Tamandua tetradactyla: one gene and its partners. The protein of the gene in region 1 interacts with the protein of each later gene in a pairwise test. Links are inferred from orthologs where the notes say so. Each region holds a gene or a part of one and is shown on either strand. Other genes may lie near its edges. The genes, in order: UBA52, SNCA and UBE2R2.

Region 1 (7,533 bases):
GTGAAGAGACTGACTGTGCCCTCGGGCTCTGTCCTCCTGCGACTCCAGGCCCAGGGGTGCTGCACAGCAGATAACTGTGGGCAGATGGAGGGTGACTGGCCCAGTGGAACCCCAACAGCTGAAGCTGGAGGTGCCTGAGACTGTAGCCCCAGGGAAGCCAATGTGGAAAAGGCTCTGGGCTGTTTTCAGGCATCACCAGGCCCTAGTAAAGGCTGGCCAGGAAGAGGGTGGTGAGAGCCAGGCCATGAGTGGTCAGTCGTGCAGCCCTGCCACTCACTCAGCCTTTCTAGAAAGCCCCTCTGTGCTGGTATGAGTGAGAACCTGTAGCTGGCCCAGCTGGGGCTCCCACCTAGCTGCTCATCTGCCTACACCTGGATGCTTCCCAGAGCACAGGGAGTCTGGCCAGGTGAAAACCACAGCTGGTCCATGGTCTTCTGACCGACGGTCTCCATTCTCCCCTGCAGGTGAGGCTGAGTAGCTTTCTGTATGACACAGAGTCATACCCAGGAAAGGGCAGAATCCAGGGAACGGGGGCATGGCCCCATGCTAGAGGGCCACTCAGGGCCCCTCCTCTCGCACAGACCAGCCACATGGACACCTGTTACTGCTTCAGTCAACCAAAAGGAAACTTTATTGAGGTCTCAGGGCCATGGGACTCTGGAAAGAGGCTGCCCTGCCAGAGGCCGAGGAACCATGGAAAAGGGTCCTTATTTGACCTTCTTTTTTGGGCGCAGGTTGTTGGTGTGGCCGCACTTCTTCTTGCGGCAGTTGACAGCACGGGGGTGCAGGCGAGCATAGCACCTGGGGGTACAAAAGGGGCTGGTGAGGGCGCCACCCACCACCCCACCCTTGTCCGCCATAACACGCCTGGCCGCTTACTTGCGGCAGATCATCTTGTCGCAGTTGTACTTCTGGGCGAGCTGGCGGAGGGAAGGCTCAATGATGCCACCTCGAAGACGGAGTACCAGATGCAGGGTGGACTCTGTGGGGGAGGGGGGCGGGGGGCGGGGCAGCCTCAGCAAAGGGTGTTTTCGGGCTGGAGCCCCTCCACGGGGAGCACAGCCCCACCCACAGTGTCCATTTGGGTTTACCCAAACTCCAGAGGAACGTCTAACAGTGCAGGGGCAAACCTTTTACAGGTAAGACATTAAGTCTCATAACTGAGACGAATGGCACCAGTTTCCTCTATAGCAGTTCTAAGTGTCCCTTATCGCATTTCTAAATGCAATGAAGTCCCATAGTGAAGAACATAGGACACCGAGGCTGTTGGGAAATAATGGTCGAGGCTGAACTCCGTGTTTTATCACGCAGAGCGCCCACCAGGGCCAAAGGCTGCTTGTCCTGGGTGCCTGCTCCCCTGCATACCTTTCTGGATGTTGTAGTCTGAAAGAGTGCGGCCGTCCTCCAGCTGTTTGCCGGCAAAAATCAGACGCTGCTGGTCAGGCGGGATCCCTGAGGGGAAAGCAGAAAGCCCGCATGGCTGAGGCTCTGCTGAGTGACACGTCCTGGAAGCTCCTTCCCAGGGGGTCTCAGCATCCCCCCATCCTATCCAAGGGGAAACCGAGGCACGGGGCGAACAAGCCTTCCATGGTGACACTGGGGACTGCTGACGGAGCCGTGGCCTGTCTGGGCCGCACTCCCACTCCACACACGGCAGCACCTCCCTGGTGCTCCCCCCTGCCAGACTAACCCTCCTTGTCTTGGATCTTGGCCTTGACATTCTCGATGGTGTCGCTGGGCTCGACCTCGAGGGTGATGGTCTTGCCCGTTAGGGTCTTCACGAAGATCTGCATCTCTGCGTCTGTCGGGGTGGGCGGGGCTCAGCTCCAGCTCGGGCGCTGCCCGCCCCCGCCCCGCGGCTACCGCCATCGCCCTCCCACCCAGCCGGGCCTACAGTCCTGCCAGGACCGTCCTCTCCCCACCCTACTGCTTGATCCCTTGGCTGGAGCGGGCTTCACAGCGAGCAGGGCCAGATTCAGCCTCCTCACGCCTGATTCACGCGGGCCATGCGGAGAGGGGACGAGCGCAGGCCTGCCGACAGCCGGCAAGCCCTCGCACCTCCCGGCCGGCTTAGGAGCCAAGCCCCATCTCCTCAGACCGTCTCCTCTGCTTCCCACGCAGGATGCCCTGGCCCCACGCCGCGCCTCTGCCCACCACGTGATACAGGCCTGCTGAACGCGTCTCAGAAGCCCGAGAGTTGGCGCCGGGCCCTCGCAGCAGACGGGGTGGGTGCGGAGACCCGGCTCGGGAGGTGCCGCGCGGCTCCAGGGCTCTCCGCGCGGGGTCTGGCCCGGAGGAGACTCGCCCCCCTGACTCGGCGCTGCCCCTTCGGCCCCCAGGCCTCCGGGTCGCGCGCTCGGGGTCGCGGGGCGGGAAGGCCTCTTTCCCAGTCCCACTCGCCTCTCGCGGCCCCGCCCGGCCCCGCCACCCCCCGCAGGACCCCGGCAAGGCGCGAACCCGCACTGTCGCCGACACCCACCTTCCCGGCCGCCTCGTTGAAGAGAAAGAGGGAGGCGGAACCGGAAATCGCCGATTCGCCCCGAGAGCGCCTGCGCACCGAGCACGCCGCGCGCTTGCGTCACAATGCGCGCCGCGCCCCGCCCCCAATGCCGCCACCATGTTGACTGCTGGCGAGCGAAGCCGCGGCGAGTGTGGGCGGGCGGCAGCGACGCGCTTCCTTGTGCGGGCCCCACCCCCCGCAGGGTCACGTTGAAGAGGCCGCACCTTGGCAGGTGCTGGGCCCCGGGCCTGCCGCGTGGCGGTGGGGCCGAGCCGTGGAGAGGGTGTCTGGGGAACGAGGGCTCCGAGCTTCCGGGTGGGAAACAGTGCCTTCGCCCCGGACGCGGCGGGACGCATGGACTGTTGGGGGCTGTCGGGTGGCCTCCAGGTGCGGTATGCGGGAAGGGGTAGGGACCCACTCGTATTTTTTTTTTTTTTTAATTGGCTGGTGCTTAAATGAGACAGCACAACGTAGCACAGTATTTTTTTTTTTTAAAAAAAAGCAGATGTTTTATTGGCCTAATTCCTCAGTGCCTTGCGGGAAGGGACAGGGCTCTGAGTTTAGCAGGCAGTGGGACCCACCCTGGGGATCAGGTATGAGGGTCAGAGCTGGGGAGAAGAGGAGGGAGGGAAACTGTCCAATGCCCAGGTAGTGGTGGGGAGTAGGGCTGTGGTAGCAGCTGCCACTACTGGCTCCCCCCATGGCAGCCATGCCTCTCCCTAGACACGTAGCATGTCCTGCCCATAGGGCCCCAGGATTGAAGGAAGCCACTGCCAGGCACACATTTCCCTTTTTAGTAATGGACTCTTTATTGATAACTTCCCAACAGCATCTGTAAACATCGGGTACAAAAATATTGCGTTCAACTCTGTTTTCGAGGTGGCTCGGCTGGCCCCGGGGACCTTGGGGAGACCTGCCTGGCACTCAGGGTCTGTGCCTCAGATCAGGGAACCTCCGGCTTCAGGCCCAGGCTTGCAAGGCTGCCACCCTCCCTCAAGAGCCTCCGATCCCAGAAGCTCCCCTAGGGGATACCGGTTGGAGAAATCCATCTACGCTTTCAGCAGAAGAAGGGACAGGGAGATCCGAATTAGTGGGGTGGGGTGAGGCGGCGCTCTGCCTCCAGGAGGACCTGGCCTGGGGGCCAGGACATCTGGCTCTGCTCACCTTTTTTGGGTCTGTTCAGAACAGACCCTGGTCTGGAAAAGCTCCTTCCTGCCCAGCCCGATGCCAGCTGGGCAAGCCGTGCCCCTGGCTGGCAGAGGGCCTGCAGGAGAGCTGCGTGCTTAAGAGGCGGGAGCAGTGCGGAGGGCCCTGGAAAGCTGACTCAGAGACGGGCTCCCCACGCTGGGACCTGAGAGCCCAGGGAGCAGTGCTACTCGCCCGGCATCCCCTCGTCATCCCACTCGCTGCGGCCATTGACCACAGGGGAGATGGGCCTGACGTGGGACAGGTCCTCAAAGTCCGGGCTGGGGGGCGGCGAGACGAGGTCGGGGCTGGTGTCACAGGAGCCTGTGCTTTGCTCCGAGGTAGCGATGGTGGTGGTGGTGCTGGGTGGGATGGGGTCCTCGTCCTCGTCCTCCAGGAGGGATGCCTCAGGGATGTCTGCAGGGCACAGGCCCACCAGTTCAAGTCCTGCCTCTGCCCCTTCCTCGCTGCGCCCTCTTCCACCGGGTGCTACCCCTCCTGGGGCAGTGGGAAGCCTGTGTTGGGCTCACTGGGTGACGGCTGTCCCTATACCTGTCCACCTTCCCTGAGCGACCTCCCCCCAGAGAGGGGCCCAATCACAGCAGTTCTCTGCAGACCCTACCCCACCGACCCCTGGCCTGGGTCTCCCTGGGCCACCCCCCAGGGCCTGGTGGGTGCACAGCCCCAGCGACACTCACGGCTGAAGGCCTCAGGGTGCTGCCTGGCCAGTTTCCCCTTCAGCGTCCTGCAGAGGAGGAAGCACATGGGGCTGGGGGGAGCGAGCATGGCCAGGGGTCCTTGGGGTCCTTGCCCCGCCCCACACACGGCCTGTCTCAGCCCTGGGGTGGCCTCATGCTGCCCTGGCAGGCACCTGGGGACCACATGGGGCGCCACACAGCCTGCCCTCCTGGGATCTAAGCTCCGAGACCTGGAACCCGCTTGGGCAGCTTCTCCCCAGCAGTCACTCCTCCGTGCCCCTGGCTGCATCCTGCCCTCCATGGGGTCCTGGGGGCTGGGACCCGGCAGGCACCCGGGGAGGTTGTGTGGGAAAATGCACGGCCTTGGCCCTTGCTGAACTGGAGCTGGCAGGGGGGCCCCTGCTTCCTTCTTCAAGCCGGGGGTCCTTCATTTCCCCAGTCTGTGCTTCTATGGTTACCCCCAGCAAGGGAGGGTCCCCAGCTCCTGCCCCACGAAGGTACCCTCACTGTCTTGCTTCCCCCTCAGCCAGTCTGGGCACCTGGCAGGGCGCCCTCCTGGCAGGCCACAGGTGCAGCTGCAAGCAGGGAGGAAGGCTGGGCGTGGGGACAGTCCAGCAGAGCCCAGGGACCACGGAAGGCCTGGCATAGATCCCCTGCGGCCCAGGCCCCATGGCCAGCACCTCTCGGCCCAAGGGCTTGCTTTATTTTCCACTAAGGATGGCAAGCTGCTGAGGGACTCACAAATTGCCTCCCTGGCCTCCCTGACGGCCCTGCTGGGGCGGGGGCGGGGGGGGGGGGGCTGGTGAGGGGCTGCCAGTCCTTTTGTATCATGGGTCCCGAGATCTATCAACTTTTTCAAAGAATAAAGTTAAAACCGAAAACTGTAAAAGATTTTTATCCCAAAACCCAGACCTCCCCCGATGCCACCTCAAGGCTCTGTGGAGGTGTGCAGAGAAGGGCGGGGGCCGGGGTGGGGTGCGGTGAGGCAGGGACTGGACCGGAGGGGTGGGGACGGGACCGGAGGGGCGGGGGCAGGTACCCACCGGATCCTGCGGAAGATGCTGTCCAGGTCCCGCTTCATCTCCACCAGGGTCCTGGTGTGGTGCAGGAAGCGCTCGCTCATCTGCTGCAGGCGGGCACTCGACAGGTTGTTGAAGTTCAGCAGCATCTCATTGGTCTTCTCAAAGCGGTCGAGCCTGCGTGCAGGGTGCAGGCATTAGTTCTTCCGCTGGGACCGGAACCCGCAGTTCAAACCTCCAGAACTGACCCGCTAAGGCCTTTTTGGCTTTTTGGCCGTGTTCCTTTGTTCTACAGCACTTCACCCAAACTCCTATTCATCTTTAAAAACCCTACTCAAGTGTGTCCTCCTTCTGTCACTGTCACCTGCTCCCTCAAGCAGGCTCTTTACTCTGTCTCTTGACTCCCCCAAACCCAGATTCTTCCTCCTGGCACGGTCCAGACCAATACAGCTGGAGGGTGGAAGGGCATTTGGCTTTGTCTCCCCAGTCTGGGAGTTCCCAAGGCCAGGTTGGAACCTGACCTAATGAATGAGCTGAGAAGGATACTTCTAAGATTCGGCACACTCAGCACCCCTGTCACAAGGTGAGAGAAACACAAGGAAATCACATCTGTGCTTTGTCCCAAGTGGAGGGCATGGAGGGCCTTCGGCTTAAGGAGCTGACAGCAAAGGCTGTCCGCCCTTCCCCAGGACTAGGGTTCTGGATCCCGAGGGCACAGGGCATTCACAGCCCCTACAGGAAGTCAGCTCACCGGCTTTCTCCCACTCCCTCACCCCCCCAGTGGCCCACTGCTGTCCCCCCAGCTCTCCCCAGCCCAGGCTTGGGACAGGAGTCTCGGCAGCCCACGCCAAGCCATCCACAGCTGCAACCCTTCCCCGGCCCTGCTTCCCGTGCCAAGGCCTCGCCTCCAGGCCTGCAAGGAGTTCGCTCTGGAGCCAGCCAGGCAGATTTGCTCATTTCCTTCGTTTTATCCCCAGCGCGGGCCTGGGACAGGGGCGGGGCTGGGCCCCCACTCCAGGCCGGCGCGTGGCCGCCACTCACATGTTCTTCTGGGCCTGGATGATGGCGTTGACGTCGTCCGCGTCCACCATGTTCAGGATGCGGCTGCAGAAGACCCTCGAGGCCGAGTCCGGGGGCTCCATCCCTCCCTCTGTCTTCGCTGCCTGGAATGGGCAGGAAGAGCCTGGTCAGTGCCAGGCCCCAGGTGGCGTCACTAGGCCCCCGAGCCTCAGCTGGGAATTTGGGGGGGTTAGGAGAACTAGAGGAGGTTGCTTTGGGCTGAACTGTGTCCCCCCAAAAGACATCAGAGTCCTGGCACCCAGTGTTGCAAACGGGGCCTCCTCTGGAAGGAGGGCCTCTGCAGCTGCCGTCCGCGAAGCCGCAGTCATGATGGAGCCACGCGGCCCCTGACCCACTAGGTCGGGGAGCTGGACCCACATGGACAGGGGCAGAGAGGAGCACACCGCTGCACAGGCAGTCTTCAGGGGAGGTCCTGCTGCGCAGGCACGTCCCACCCAGACCCCTCCCAGTTCCTCGGCCCCCAGGGCCCTGGCATTCTCGCCTGCGGAGCTCAGTCAGCCGCCTCCCTTGCCTGCTCTGCTCCAGGGCCTCTGCGCTAGCTGTTTCCATGGCTGGACTGTGCGCGGCGGCCCCTCGAATCACCATTCACCCCCACGGACTCCTCCCCAAGAAGTCCTACATGGCCACCCCGACCCTGCCCCTCATCACTTGGCCTCGTTTGGATCTCTTCATTCCAAAAATTATCTCCATCCTGAGCTGGCCTGTTGGTCTGCTGCCCCTGCCTCCACGGCAGCCCCAGGAAGGACCCACATCTGTCTTGTTCGCTCCTCTGCCTCCAGGGCTGACCCAGAACCTGGCTCATAGTGCTCCCCAGAACTTAGCTGACATAAGAGTTTTATTACCAAGTTAAAGCCAAGGGTTTCAGGCTCTGGCCACCCAGCTGTGCAGCACCCATCTTCCCTGGCAAAACTCAGGCTGAGGGTTGCTTCCCAGGCCCTTGAACAGGAAGGGTCACGGTTTCCATGCCATCCCTCCTGGAGGGGGTAGGAAAAGCCTGAAATCCCAGCTGGCTTAGCTCTGGGGCCCATACATGTAGTGGCTGACCGACAGG
Region 2 (8,078 bases), on another chromosome or scaffold:
TTTCATACCCTACCACTTTGCTCAAAGACTTCCTTTGTTACAATATGAATTGACCACATGGCCCCGTGTAAAACACTAGTTGTTTTATTGGGAAGACGAAGAAAGTTTATGTTAAGCATGCATTTCATAGATGTTTATCTATACTAAATTATGGTATTAAACCAAAATAAAATAACCCAATTAAGGAGTAGGAAAATATTTAGACTCTATTTTTCAAAGAGAAAATTAAACATGTATTCAGTTCTTACTACCTGAATGCACACCTCAGTAGTGCTTCGCAACAGGTTATTATTCTGTATTCTGAAAAGGAACAATCCATCCAACTAGTTTAAATTTTAACCTTATATTCAGAGGGTTAAAATTTATTCAATCCCATTCTGTCAATCAATGTTGGAAAGGAAAGTATGCGTATTAACTTCCAGTTCCCTTCTTTGTTCTGGGGAAGCACACCTCCTTAAGAATATGGAGGTAAGAAATTACAGGTAGAACATAAGCAATCACTGCTGATGTTATCACTAACTGAAATTTTACTTTTAATTTTATGTTAATTGAAAATCTTCTAAATAACAAAATGTTTTATTTAATTTTATTTTAAAAGGATGCTTACATGTTCAAAGCACTTTGAAGTGCAAAAAGAAGAGTAAAACTTATAATTCTAATTCAAAATGACAGAAAACAATCATTTTATAATTTTGTTTTTTTTCTTTTTTTTTTATTTTGCAGATGTTGAGAAATCATTTCTGCCTGCTAAGAAGTATCAATACAAAAAGGCACATTTTCAAATATAGATGCACTATTTTATAATTACATAAATTCTCTTTGATTTGGATTGTCATATCTAAATTCAAAGGCTAATTCTAACATAGTGGGGATCCACTTTCTTTTCCTTCTCACCATACATCACTCCAAAAATATGAGGCTTCAGATGGTAACTGTTGAGTCAGGAAATGATAATTCCTCTTGGAATGGTTTCTGCTGGGGATCTCAACTCTGCCACATGAGAGCTGGGTGATCTCAGCCTCAAAGTTACATAATAAAACTTAACTTAGTCCTCTGTTATGATTGAATGATACAGTGTGTTAGTCTTTTGCAAAGCAAAAAGTACCATATGAAGGCATGGAATCATCTTATTTATAAAAATGCACACACAAAAAACCACCCCAAAATAATTCTACCAGTGGTCTGATATAGGCCCTAAAATACTTATCATTTTAGTCACTCCTTGACTTAATATATCAGTTCTCAGTATGTGTCCCTGATAAACTATAAATATGTCATATGAAATCATATATAAAATAAGTATCATAATAATTTATCATGGTAGGTAGCTATGTTGAGTCACAGTGGAAAATGTTTATTGTTGGCAGGGGAGGTCCCACAAATGTGAAATTGACTATGAATGGTCTTGCATGCTTTTGGTGAGGGGTGTCTTCTTGCAGGACTTGGGAAAGCAGAGAACAGAAAGGGGGCACCAGTTTATTGTGTTACTAAGATTGGCAATTGCTGACAGGGTAATTTTTCTATTCTACCATTCTACATGCATATCCACATGCTGCATTTAAGGTTCACAGAGCTTAGTTGAAAATAAGATTTAGGATTTATACTTCAGAAAAGAAAAGACACTTTTCAAAACGATTCTTTACAAGAGGGTGATTGATTTTAATCTAGATTTTCTATCCCTTTATTACTTGATCTGTTTTTTTCTAAGTGAGAGAGAATAAGGCTAAGTCAAACAATGTTCTGGTCAATTACAGTCATGATTTAACTCTGGCATAAGAAGATAGAGCCAGTGTGTTGCAAGTGAGCATCCACTAAGACCCCTCAGAATCATCACAAAGCTAATGATCTGGCCTTAAAGGATTAATTTGGGGTGTTCTGATTCACCCATCCTTCTCAGCTCTCCTCTGGAGCTCTATGTCTGGCATCTGACAACTTTCAGGGCTGTCTGAATTCATCTGCTTGTGTCTTAATGGAAGATACTATCTCCTTCTCCATCTCCTCCCCACCTCACCTTCAGCAACTTAAATATGATATTCCCACACTTTTATTATTCTTTCCTTCCCCATTTTATTCTTATGTTTTATTACAGAGATCCATTCTCATATCTGATTCAAATTGGTATTTGCTACAATAGTACATTGTTTACCTTTGATCTTAGACATCCATGACCAGTAATGACCAAGGGAAAAAGGTTGAAGCTATCACATTCTAAGTCCAATAAGTTGTATACAAGGAAGGAAGGAAGGAAGGAAACAAGGAAGGAAGGAAATTTATTTTTAATTAAAGTCAATCCTAACAGAAATCTGAAATTGAGAATTGGAAGAAACAGTGAAAGAGTATCAAACACCACAATGAGATGTGGGTTACCACTACATTCCATTAAGGTGGCTAAAGGGAAAAAGATTTATAACCCAAATGTTGGGGACCATGTATAGACCAGAACTCTCACACATTTCTGTATGAATGTAAAATGGTACAACTACTTTTGAAAATGACCTGGCAGTTTCTTAAACATACATTTACTGTAGCGATTCCATTCTTATGTATTTACTGAAGATAAATGAAAGCAGGTGTCTGTAGAAAGGCTTGTAAAGAAGCTTCATAGCAACTTTATTCATAATTTCTTCAAACTGGAAACAACCTGAGAGTCCATGAACAGAAGGATGGATTAAAATACTTGGTAATATTAATGCAATAGTGCTTTGCAAAGCATAAATTATCATATAGAGGTGTGGAATCATGCTGTTATGAGACGCACGAAAAGTAACAGCTGCCCCCAAATAACTCTCCCCTTCATCTGCCATGGAGCCTATAAAAATCAACCAGTTCCAGTCATTCCTTTAATTTAAAGCATTAGGTCTCAAGAAGGTCTCTGTTAAAATGTAAACGTGTCATCTCAAATAATTGATGAAATCATTATCTTAATAGTCTCTCAAGAAAAGTCACTGTGAAAATCACTTTTTATTGGCAGTCATAAGGGAAACAATAAAAGGCAAATAAAAGAAACAAATTTCTGAATGAAGTTTGAATGAACCTCACATACATTATGCTGAGGGAAAGATGATAGATACAAAAAAATTATCTTGTATAACCTTTTATGAAATTCTAGACTATACACAACTAAGAAGGGGCAAAGACAACTTTCTGCATCTTCAAAATGGTGTGGATTACACTAATGCAGAGATTTTTCAAAACTGGTTTAAAGGAACACTTAAGGTCTGAGCATTCACTGTATGTAAATTATACTTCAACTTAAAGAAGATCATCAAATGTCATTGTTATTTTTAATAGTTCTTATATTTTATGGAAACATGCTGAAAGATTTACAGGTAAAAAAATTTATATGTAATGCCTGGGATTTGCTAAAAATTGTAAATATCAGGACAGAATGGGTCTGAATTCCACTGAAAACTGTGGGAGTTGTGTAATAGTCTCTACCTGGGGATACAGCTGAACATTTTCCATAATAAAAAAAGGTGAAAAAAAAGGGATTATCTGTGTTCACCTCCTCATTATATAAGAGAGAAAACTAGAAACAGAAGGAGGCAAAACCACCCTTAAGTTCTCAAAGCCTGGTTACAAACTATCTCCCAGGTGCAACCTTCTTTCTCTGTATCCAGGAAATACAAAATATATGTAACTGTTTTTCTTGAAAGGCTGCTTTTAAAAACGGCACACCAATAATAAGCCCTTACGTATTTATGACCTCATACTTACTTTCTTCTCTTCTTTTTTCTACCGAACACGCGTGATTATATATACATATATATATATATAATATTCACACATATCGTTTGCTTTCTGTCCTTTGAGATTTCAAATGATTGTTTCTTGATTGCATTTCGAGAACCCAAACGAGGCAAGGATCAGAGAAATCTTTGTTTCTATAAAAAAAAAAACAGCAAAAACAAACAAAATAATTAAAAACAAAAACAAAACCATATAGCGAAGACTTGTTTTTCCCTTCCAGGGCTGAAATCATCCTCCCAATCCCAGCAAAGGAAAGCAAAGACATTCTGCTGAGGGAGGAGCTTAGTCTACTGTGATCCAAGAACAGCTCCCCCCTCCCACCCCCAGCCCCACCCCCGCCCCAGCTCTAGAGAGGTGAACATGTATTAAGCGATGCAAACATTGTCTTGCGGCGCGCTCGCGTTTGTGTGTGTGTGCACGGGTACGTGTCAGCTCCGACAGCAACAAGGACCAGAAGTCAGAAAGGTGTGTGGTGCATGAAGTCTCATCTTCAGAAGGGACCGAAGAGGAAATTGGATATGATGGTCCAGCAGGGCACACCAGGCAGCTTTTGTTCCCTCCATCCAGATACTTGGGTCTGGAAAGTAAATCCCACTTCAAAAGCGAAAAGCTTGTGATCACTGGTTTTCGACGGCTGGGGAATATTTATTCCTTGTGCCAGTGATGGGAAATTCAGCGTCTGGCAGCCTCTGATTGGTGGAAAAGAAAATGGTGATAGTGGGGTGGGAAGACGATTTGACAAGCTTCCTCCTACCTCAACCTGTAAGTCTTCCTTAGTCTCATCTCCGCTTGAGGGTCCTTTCAGGCTCCTCTGGGGTTGGGAGCAAACGAATATCTGAAGCTATTTGAACAAAAGCAACCGCTGGTCAAACTTAAGCTCTCCGAGGGAAACGTGCTCTCGCAGGTGCAGATATAAGCATCTTTCCTAGGCTGCCTCTCTCCCCAAGAGATTGACTCGGACTTTGGTGTTCTATCCCTTAGGCCCCCGGCTCCCGAGGTTGGATCTGGCGAGTGGGTCCCCAAGAGGAATCTTACAGAAAGGCAGAGACAGGGGAAAAGGGCGAATGGAAAAGAGGGAGAGACATTAGCCAGAGGCCAACCGCTTCGGAGCCTCCCAGTAGTTCCGGTGACCCTGTACTTGGGGTGAATCGCACTACACCCTACCTTTCCGCCTTGCAGGACCAGGCGGGCCGCTTCCAGTTGGAAGGATAACTCCACCTTTCCCCAACCCCCCAACGCACACACAAAATCGAGCCAAGTGCACGAGGCAGGGAAAGCAGCGAGCTCCGGGAGAGGGGCGGGGAGAGGCGCTGACAAATCAGCTGTGGGGGCGGTGAGCCGAGGAGAAAGGGGAGGAAGAAGAGGAGGAGGACCACGCGCCAGAGAAGGGGGTTGGAGAAAGGGGGCGAAGGAGCAAGCGCGGCGACGTAGCAGAGTCAGGTATGTGCTAGCTTTGGAACGGTCCCGGGGGACCGAGCCCCGCCTTTAGCATCCTTCTGGCTCTCTCCCGCCTTCCCTTCCGACCCTCTGCTGTTTGTTTCTGAGCCTCTTGTGCTTGGAACCGGGAGTGGCAATTTGACTACAGGTTCGCGAGTTCGCCTCCCACGCCCCCAGCCTCTTGTCGCTGGGTTGTGCTGACTGCAGCCTACTCTGGGGACCATCCCTCTCCTGGTGCCGCTTGCGCCCTTCCTGTGCGCTCCGTTTCCTCTCTCTTTCCATTTAAATAATATGTGGGAATTGTTTAGCTAGAATAATAATAATAATAAAAATTTAAAAGCAGGGGTTGGAATCAGAGTTCAGGAGAAGTGTAGGGGCTCAGGTAAGTTCCTGTAGCTCTAAACGGGCTGGGAGCTTTAGGAATCCTGGAGAAGACCTGGTGGGAAAGGGGTGACGTTACCGTGGACGCCTGGGACCGGGCTTGGTGCCAAGGTGAGCACCGGCTGTGTCAAGTCTCTGGACCGTGGATGGGTTCTTATTCCTTTGGTGAGCTTGAGGAGAGTAAGTTGACCTGGCTTTCCACATGATTTCCATATTCACCCTTTCTTCCCAAAGGCTGAGAGGTCCGGTCGCTTCCTCGCGGTACACTTCTCCTTTGGGAACCGCGAGGATGCTTGTTGGAGCGTGTGCACCCAACTTTTATTTCTCTTACTTTAAATCCCTCAGTCTGCCCTCTGGGTTTCTCTTGTAAAATAAGCAAGCTGTTTTGGGCGAATAATTAAATGGAAGTGCCGGGAGGGCAAATCAACAGGTGGTAAGGGATTAACAGGTGCGTGTATTGGCCTTCCCAGCCCCAGCCCGCCGGCGGGTTCGCGCTGAGAACGGTCTCTGCCGTGGCGCTCCTGGGTCGTGTGCCCGCGGGTGTGAACGGCGCCTGCTCTGGGCTGATAGCTGACGGTGGGGGTGTATGGTCGGGTAGATTAGAGCGAGCTGTTGGCCTGAGGGTCAACCACACCCAAGTGAGTAGTTCCCTTGCCTTTGCTCCCCAGGATCAATTTGGCAGTCCGCTTCCGACATTCATTTTAAGGATTCCCTCAGGCGCCCAGCTTCCAGCTCCGTTTCTTTTCCTGTGGTCTTCTAAAAGTGCTTGTAACTTAGTCACGGTTTTTTTGAACCCTGGGAAGTTGAAAGAGGGTTATAGCCTTTCATGCAACTCCACTTCGGAAAAGCTGTAAGGGCAGCTCAGATGATTCATCCTAATCCATATTTAGACCCAACTAAGCGAGATGGATAAGGGATGCTAAATATTTAAAGCAAAAGCTAAAGGGCGGTCTTGTCCGATGGTTGAAATGAGTGCACACTTGAAAGTATCTCACACTGTGGGGGAGTTCTGCTAGTTTTTAAGTAGTTTTACCTTTGGAGGTTTGAATTTTGTTTTACCAGGATGTTCTCATTCGAGGTGTATTTTGTTTCCTCTAGTGTGGTGTAAAGGAATTCGTTAGCCATGGATGTATTCATGAAAGGACTTTCAAAGGCCAAGGAGGGAGTGGTGGCTGCTGCTGAAAAAACCAAACAGGGTGTGGCAGAGGCAGCAGGAAAGACCAAAGAGGGGGTTCTCTATGTAGGTAGGTAAGCTCTCAATGCCATTTTAGTATTTATTCATGACCGATGGATTAGGATGATTGATACTGTAAATGCTGAAAGGCTGGTATGCTTTGCTTGATTCATGTTTGCGTCATCACTTGTGAAAAGGATGAACTTAGTCAGGTATGAGTGGGTAGGTAAATGTGTATTTCAGCTACTAGTACAAAATGGAGCTAATCTTTTGCTTTTCCTGATTATTCAACTTCACAATAATATTGAAGGTTTTTTGTTTCTTTTCTAAGAAATGAATGTTTTTGTGAATAAGTGATTATATTTCAGATGACAGTTTTTAAAACAGCATCTTTAAAAAATCAAGAATATCCTTAAGAAACAAAATGATTTATTTTTGACTTATCCTCATGATTAATCTTCCTTCAATTTTTGTATTATTTTGATATTAAAATATGACTTTACTATGGCCTCAGATAGGTGAAAAAGAGACCTACTATCACCTCAAAATAGAAAGGACAGATTAGTCTCTCATGAAGTTTCCCTTTGTAACCATTTGGTAGACTGGAAATTAAGAACCTAAGAAAATACTTGAGTGTTATTATTAATATCTCTGAAACATAAATATATTTTATTTCTCAATTGACATATAATAATAAGGTTGATCCTTATCACCTCTGCTTGTTCCTAATTCCCACAGTGGAGTTTTCACCCAGACCAGAACCCTCATTTATATATAACTAGGAGTGTATTAGGTTGAGTCTTATTTTATAAACCACTTGAAGTTCTTTTGGGAAAGAGTGATATACGAGGCATTCACACACTCACACTCACACACACACACACACACACACACACACACTGCCCATTCTTCCTCTCCTCTTAACACTCTGCTCCTGTGAACTTTTCCACATTCTTCAGTGGCAGTTAGGACAGCTTTAGCCACAGGATGAGCCATAAAGTAGAGGATGAATTTACTGAAATTTATATCAGATTTTTTTTTCTTATTGTTGCTCATAGACTCCTTTCTATGAAAAATTACTTTTTATTCCTCTACTTTAAGATATATTTTCAGGAAATCATTGCAATAAGGAGTGTTACATGAGAAAAAACCTTGAATGAGTTTAAGTGTTTTGTGAAGTGTGAACTACATAACTTTAGGTGAAATTTGCAATACTGAATAAATGACACACAGATTATAGGTACCTTTACATTTGCCATAAATTGCCCAACTTGTGCAAGTGCACTGTAGTAATTTTGGCTTGAGTTACTTTATAACTTTAAAGATTTTCTTTGAG
Region 3 (6,945 bases), on another chromosome or scaffold:
TTCTATGTTTACTAGTTGTGTGACATTGGGCAACTTTCCTTACCTCTTTAAGCTTTGGTTTACTCATTGGTAAAATAGAGATTCTAGTAACAGCCATGTCATTGGTTTAATGAGGATTTAAAGGGACAATGCATGTAAAATGTCTGTGCCATAGTGATGCTCAGCAAATGCCAGTTATAATCATTAGAAGAAATGTGTGGCCCCTTAAGAGCAGTGCCCAAATCTTACACAGTTGGTGTCATGTTGAATGAATGAAAAAAAATTGGCTTCTTAGAATCATTCTGTAAAGCCAAAATCAACATTTCTAAAGCAAATACCAATACCCTCCCTCCATTTATCTTGCCAAGATTTCCATATTTTTTCTATCTGGAAGAAAGGAAATAGATTGTTCAGGAGCACCCTGCTTAGAGAGTAGCAGGTGATGCAACAGACTGGGCCTAGGCATCTAACTAAAACATCAGTTACCACCAGAGGGCACCAGCCAGTGAAGTCAATCTATTTATGTCTTAAATCTATGGCATTACGAGATGAGAAAGCTCTAAGAGGCTGTTTCTGCCATTCATCCTTTTGATAAATGTTTTGAGCCCCTACTATATGCCAAGCAGTGTAGTAGCTCGCATATGGTTATGAATAAGACCTGTTATCCTTATGGAATTTCTAACCTTGAGCACCTTTTATGTGCCCAAGAGATCATATTAGGCATGGGAGTGGGAGTTCAATTTGTTACTTTTTTTGTTACTGATTGTCTTCCTGCCTTTGGCTGTGAGTCCATGAGAACAATTACTTTAGTGTCTAATTGTGTTTGACAGTGTGTTGGTTGCTGAGGATATATAGATGAATAAGACACAGTTGCAGTCTACTAATGAACAATGTCTTATGTGCTACAATAAAATGACATGAAACTGGTTCTGTGGAATTCCAGTTCTTCTGACCTAAGGATGGAAAGTCTCGAGTACACAGTTCACTAATCAACTAGGCTGTGAGTCTCCCAGACAAATGAGTTTGTCAGCTACCCAACTTTGGGTGATGCCCAAATGGATGTTTAATATGAGTCTGCCAGTTGATGTGAGCTAAAGGAGCAGTTTTAGGTCTGGATGCCAAATATATATTCAAGTGGGTTAGGCTAGGGATTCACCATCCTTTGGATTAGGGTGGAGCTGTGACGAATTTATGTGGGTGAAATGCTTTGAAGATGAAGTTTCTGCCTATTTGTCTGTTCAGAGCCTTGTTATTAAAGGTGTCAACATTACCTCCCACATTTCCGGGTCAGCAAACTTCTTGTACCCAAAGTGAGGGGGAGGGGAAGCCAGAACCAGTCATACAATATCATTTTTGTGAGAAGGAGCTACATTGACTCGAGTTTTCTGCCTTTTCTGAGGGGAGCTCTAAGTTCGGTTGTGTTTGGTGCCAAGACCTAGGGGAGTGGTTGGGGTCTAGAGAATTATCCTTTAATTAAAATACTGAGACCCCCATCTTTGAGAAAAATGAACAAAAAAATGAATGGGATCCTTTAAATGTTGGGCTGCACATAGTGACTTCCTTCCAAAGGGTATCGTATAGAAAGGAGAAAAAAGTAGACTTTTTTTTTTCTCAAAGGAGAAGCTTGACAAATACCAGTCAGATGATCAAGGTGAATGCTGTGACAAATCATATTGATAGTATGTACCTTTGATATGATATGATGTGATGAAAATGGCACTTTATCATTGTGATCTTCATCCCAGAGATACATAACTGTAGTCTAATTAGGAGAAAAATGTCACACAAATCCCAATTGAGGGCCAGTCTACAAAATACCTCACCAATATTCCTGAAAACTGTCAAGGTCATAAAAAACAAGGAAAGTCTGAGAAATTGCAACAGCCCAAAGGAAGGCGCCTAAAGAGACACGATAATTAAATGTGATGTGGTGTCCTAGATAGGATCTGGAACAGAAAAAGGACATTAGGTAAAAACTAAGGAAAGCTGAATAATGTATGGATTTTAGTTAATAATGATGTTCATTAATTGTAATAAATGTACCATATTAGTGTAAGATATTAATAATGGGGGAAACTGGATGACGTTTATGGGAATTCTCTGTACTATTTCTCATTGGTAAATCTAAAACTTTAAAAAGTCTATTTTTAAAACAAAACAAAGGAAGTGGTGTTCAGAATACAACTGTGACGCTTAATTTTTTTCTTTCTTTCAAGGTCCTATTTATGGATCATTTACGACGTCAGTCATTATGCTAAACGCTGTACATAAATCTCTTTTGATCATCACAATTGCTTGTTAGGTATAATTAACCTCCTTTAGAGACGCTGATGATACAGAGGTAATGTAAATGATGGAGCCAGGGCTGGAACCAAGACTTCAGATAGTAAAATTCTGAGTGTGTGGAGCCCTCACAGTATCCCGGCTTTTCTAGGAAACATCTAGGCAAATTTAATAGAAAGTGCCTTTCTAAAGAAAGGGGTATACAAAAATCAAGGGCACTGAAGACTGTCCTCACATCTCACCTCAATCATGATTATCTTAAAAGCCCGTCACTTCCAGGTTGGATTTTGAAGCTGAAAGGGGTCAAAGTCAGAACATGGTATTTTACAAATGGGCAAACTGAGGGGCAGTGAGAATACTTGCCCCAAAGTACACAGAAAATGATCAGGAACCGAGGTTCAGCCTCTAGCACTATTTTTCTCTCTCTTTTTAACCCCCCTTCAACTTCCTCTTTGTAGTTAAGAAGGGAAGTAGGAGCTATCTGTCTTCCTCAATTTCTCGGGTCGGAAACTCTCCCTCCCCCAGGTAAGTGACTTGCCCAAGGACCCTCCGGCATGAGGACCGAAAGTTCGTGCCGGGGAGACGTGGTGAAGTTGATGTCATCACAATACCCACATTCAAAGCACATCCTTCTCAATCACCTACTGGGTGTAGGGCCCGCATACTGAGGGCCTCGGGGAGGGCCTGCGGGGTCCCTGGACTCGTCAGGGAATGTGTGCGGAGGCCGAACGTTCTCGTCGGTACCTAGTAGGAGGGCGCTGATAGCTCTTGGATCTGAGGTCCCTTTGCGGGAGCGCCTGTGGAACCCCGGCGTTGAGCTTCACTACCTTGATTTTATGGCCAACGTTGTCCCTTGCGGCCACCCTAGGCCCCCACCCGCGGCCAACGTCACAAAGCGCCGCCACGGCGCGGGGCTGTGGAGGAGGCGGGGATCTGGGAGGAGGAGGGCGAGGAGGGCAGGGAGGGCGGGGGAGGGAGGGGCGCGCGCACGCGCGTCGGGCCGCCAGCCGCTGCGAGCCACCCTCTCCGGGCGCGCGCCCCTCCTCCCTCCCTGCTTCTTCTGGGCTCTGTCGCTCCCGCGGCGCGAGGCGCTCTTGCTTCTCTCCTCCTCCGTCGCCCCTCCCCCCGCGCAGCCGCCGCCACCGCGAGACCCTCGCGTGCCGCCCTCCCCCTCCCACCTGGGCCCCGGCAGACCCCCTGGAGAACGAGAGGGCGAGCGAGCGCCGCGTTCCCGGGCCAGCACCCTCCCCTCACCGTCGCCAGCCCTCCACCGCCTTCCTCCGCCTCCACCTCCTCGACCCCCCCCCCCCCCAGCTGAGGCCCCCTCGGGGGGGGGAGGCCCCAGACCCGGAGCGAATTCCCCCTAACTCCCTCGACCCCTCCCCCCCGCCCGTCCAAGTGTGAGGAGAAGGGCCCGGCCCGGCCCGCGTCGCGTGTGAGGAGGACTCCGGACCGGCCCGCGGGCCGTCTGGGGCCTGGTCCGGCCCGCCGGGTGTGTGAAGACAGGGGCCCGGCGCGGCCCGGCCCGAGGGCAAGCGGAGGGGAGGGGCCTGCTCCGGCCCGGCGGGTGCGTGAGGACTGGGGCCCGGGCCGGTGCCACCGCCGCGATGGCCCAGCAGCAGATGACCAGCTCGCAGAAGGCCCTGATGCTCGAGCTGAAATCCCTGCAGGAGGAACCGGTGGAGGGCTTCCGGATCACCCTGGTGGATGAGTCCGACCTCTACAACTGGGAGGTGGCCATCTTCGGACCCCCCAACACCCTCTACGAAGGCGGCTACTTCAAGGTACCTTTCCCCCTTCCCGGACCTGGCTTTCCCCGGCCGAGTCTTCTGCTCCTCGTTCGGTTTCATCTGTTTTCGGGGCTAGAAGTGGGAGCGCGTGTGAGTGGAGGGGGCTCCTCACCTCGGCAGCCCCCTCCCCCCATCCGTGGAGGCAGGAAGGCCTTGCTCACGAAGTGCCTTTTCTTTGTCATGGGGGCGGGGGCGGGAGGGGAGGCCAGACTGCGCTGGGAAATAGAAAAAGTCTCTTTTTGGCTAGGGTAGTAGAGAACGGAGAAGGAGGGCTGTCTTTGTTTCCCCAGCTGAGGGTGTATGGAAAGAAAGGTAGTTTGTCTTTTCTATCTCCTTCTCCCATCAGAATCATCCCTGCGTAGGCTGGAACTGCCCCAGAGGGCAGGGTGACCTGCACTTATTGGGTTTTTCTTTTTTTGGGGTGCGGGTGGGGGTGGGGACATTAGCCTGTCATCCCAGAGGCTGTCTAGTGACCTGACATTTTGAGGATTTGTTGGGATTCTTGGCTATTGGTAGTTCCAAGTTTGCATTCCAGTGGGCGGTAATGAAGAATAGGACCCTGGGGGTGGTGGGGAAAAAAAGGGTGCCTACGTTTTCTTGCCATTATCCAGTTGAGGGAACTTTATCTAGACCTTTTTCTGACCTGGTTCTCTATTTACTTCAGTAGTGTTTCGAAATGCCCTTTGTCCTCCCCCTGCCACCAACTTTACTGGCATTTTTTTCTATATGTACAGGAGTGGAGACAAAATTGAAACCTTTTACTCAGGTAGTTAACTCTAGCAAATGGGGTGATCTCACAGTAGAAAATTATCTTTGGAGGTGAGGTGGTTTCACAGGGTGGGTTGGCTCCTTATACAGCCAACAAAGAAGTTGTCTGTTCTCTATGATTTAGAACAGTGGTTATGATCATTCCTGAATCTAGTGTTTTTGTTTTTACTCTTAATATAGGTATCTTGAAGATACTAAATTTTTATTTTATTTTAGAGTTTTTGGCGAGACAATCACAAATTGAAGATTTGAATGTTTTAATTGACAGGAAATGAGTGCTTAGGAATTCATTTAATTTAGTTTTTTTATTTCCAAAATTAAGTAAAATAGATCAGTGAGTCAGTTTTAGTTTGTTTTGAAGGGAGGGACTATCTTGGCACAGGTTTTAAATGAGTATCTTAGTCATGTAGTTATGATGTGTATTTTTAGGACTACCCAATTACTTAACTCTTGTTTTCTACCCTTCTAAAGGTAGAAGCCTCAGTTTCAGGCTTGAAATTCTGTCCACTTTTGTAGACCCTTTGAAGGATTGATGCCATAATGTCTAATATTCATGCCTGTGGTGATGATTCAACAACCTAGTAAGAGCAGATTTTTAGAGTACTGTGTAAGAGAGGTATCCTTACCAACTGTGCTTTGTGGTTAGCGTGCAGCATTCTTTTCACATACAGATATTCAAAATCACTAAGTAAATATACAAGTTGTTTGTGATAGATTGAAGAAGGGTAGTCCTGTGTCCATGTTGAGGCCTCATTTTACTACTGTTATTAAATATAAATATAAATTTTTGTTTATGGATACTGGAAAATTATTTACACAAAATGGAATTTATTTGACAATTTTTCTAGCAAAATTATTTAGCAAAATCTACTGACTAACTTTAGCAGAATAAAGATTAATTTCTTAAAAAGTATCATAGTTTGGGACAGTTGACAGTCAAATAAATAGGTGCTAGTTAGAATAATTGCTCTAATGCTGTTTGTTTAAAAAAGTGTGAAAGAAAATAATAGGCTATAAATTATAGTAGATTAGATAAATTTTGCCTAAATTACTAGGGAAGGAGTATGGAGAAACCTGGCAGTTCAGAATAGATTGTATGGAAGAAAGATTCCTTAGAACAGTCATTGATTTAAATTAAACACTTTTAGTGCTGCTTAAAAAAAAGATTTAATCTCAATTTCATTGTATGTGTTAGATTTCCTAATCTTTCAGGTTTTCTTTACCTTTAATTCTGATATGTGAAAAAAAAATTCTTTAAAAAAATTCTTGAAGTTGTCATGTTTTAGTGTTTGAGAAGTTTGTTCAATTAATTGTATTTTCTTCTATTATTTTCCTCATTGATTGCCCTTTTATCCCATTAGCCCTTTATAATAAAGAGGAGTTAACACAGGTGATAGGTTTAAAACCATTGTTTAGTAGTTCACTACTTTTGACTCAAAACAAAACTTGCCCTGCTATTGCACTACAGCTGCAATTAAAAAGTTGGCACAGAGCTTTCCCTGCCATTATTCTCTTCCCTTATCAAATGTTAGTCCTTTAACATTTAGTATAATTTATTTTTAACTTAAATGCTTCTGTATTTTGCATAATAATTTGTGAAGGCTATGGAACTGTCATTCTTTAAGTTTTCCATATAACAGTACTTTTATATACCAGTAGACTACTAATTGATCTTTTTCCCCATGAAATAGTTGACTCTAGTTTGTTTTAACTAGAAGTTCTGTTGTGGAGACTTGTGAGACATGTATTTCACAATTTTTAAAAATTCATTCTGCTTTTTTTTTTTTTTTAATAATTCTAATCCTTGTGATTCTTAGTTTTGGGGTTATGAATGTGTGTTGGGTAAGGTAGTTTCTTGTGTCTATTCTGCACATATGAAAATATTTTTTGATTTTGCTCTCTTTTTGTCCACTTAATCTTATTGACCTTCTGAATTTCTTTGCTGCTTGGAATTTTTCCTCTAGGGGTCATTTGTGTACAAAAGACAAAGTAGGAGATGGTTTAGAACACTGAGAAAATCCCTGAACTTGATTTTGCTACAGTGGAGCAAGTCAGAATTTTATTCTGTTATTGGAAAAATAAATTGTTGATCAAGTGAATAGTTACTGACTTTTAACAAGTCACC

The links.
Region 2: the proteins of UBA52 (region 1) and SNCA interact in binary tests that used the Homo sapiens proteins (3 or more experiments, as listed by UniProt). The link is inferred for Tamandua tetradactyla from reciprocal best matches to the Homo sapiens genes UBA52 and SNCA.
Region 3: the proteins of UBA52 (region 1) and UBE2R2 interact in a two-hybrid assay, tested with the Homo sapiens proteins (2 studies listed by BioGRID and IntAct, with this or other methods). The link is inferred for Tamandua tetradactyla from reciprocal best matches to the Homo sapiens genes UBA52 and UBE2R2.

The regions. Positions count from the first base shown.
Region 1 is NC_135337.1:96,078,434-96,085,966, forward strand, and holds UBA52 (ubiquitin-ribosomal protein eL40 fusion protein), read right to left. Parts: upstream 2,601-7,533; 5' UTR 2,480-2,600; intron 2,092-2,479; exon of another isoform or gene 1,923-2,091; intron 1,802-1,922; 5' UTR 1,794-1,801; coding exon 1,691-1,793; intron 1,453-1,690; coding exon 1,366-1,452; intron 983-1,365; coding exon 880-982; intron 802-879; coding exon 708-801; 3' UTR 602-707; downstream 1-601. Other genes in the region: KXD1 (kxDL motif-containing protein 1), read right to left, coding at 3,873-4,183, 4,384-4,430, 5,427-5,579, 6,444-6,544.
Region 2 is NC_135350.1:36,699,828-36,707,905, forward strand, and holds the start of SNCA (alpha-synuclein), read left to right. Parts: upstream 1-5,059; 5' UTR 5,060-5,190; intron 5,191-6,270; exon of another isoform or gene 6,271-6,418; intron 6,419-6,666; 5' UTR 6,667-6,691; coding exon 6,692-6,812; intron 6,813-8,078. UniProt on the Homo sapiens protein: Neuronal protein that plays several roles in synaptic activity such as regulation of synaptic vesicle trafficking and subsequent neurotransmitter release.
Region 3 is NC_135328.1:62,249,969-62,256,913, reverse strand, and holds the start of UBE2R2 (ubiquitin-conjugating enzyme E2 R2), read left to right. Parts: upstream 1-3,851; 5' UTR 3,852-3,869; coding exon 3,870-4,046; intron 4,047-6,945. UniProt on the Homo sapiens protein: E2 ubiquitin-conjugating enzyme that accepts ubiquitin from an E1 ubiquitin-activating protein, and catalyzes its covalent attachment to other proteins by an E3 ubiquitin-protein ligase complex.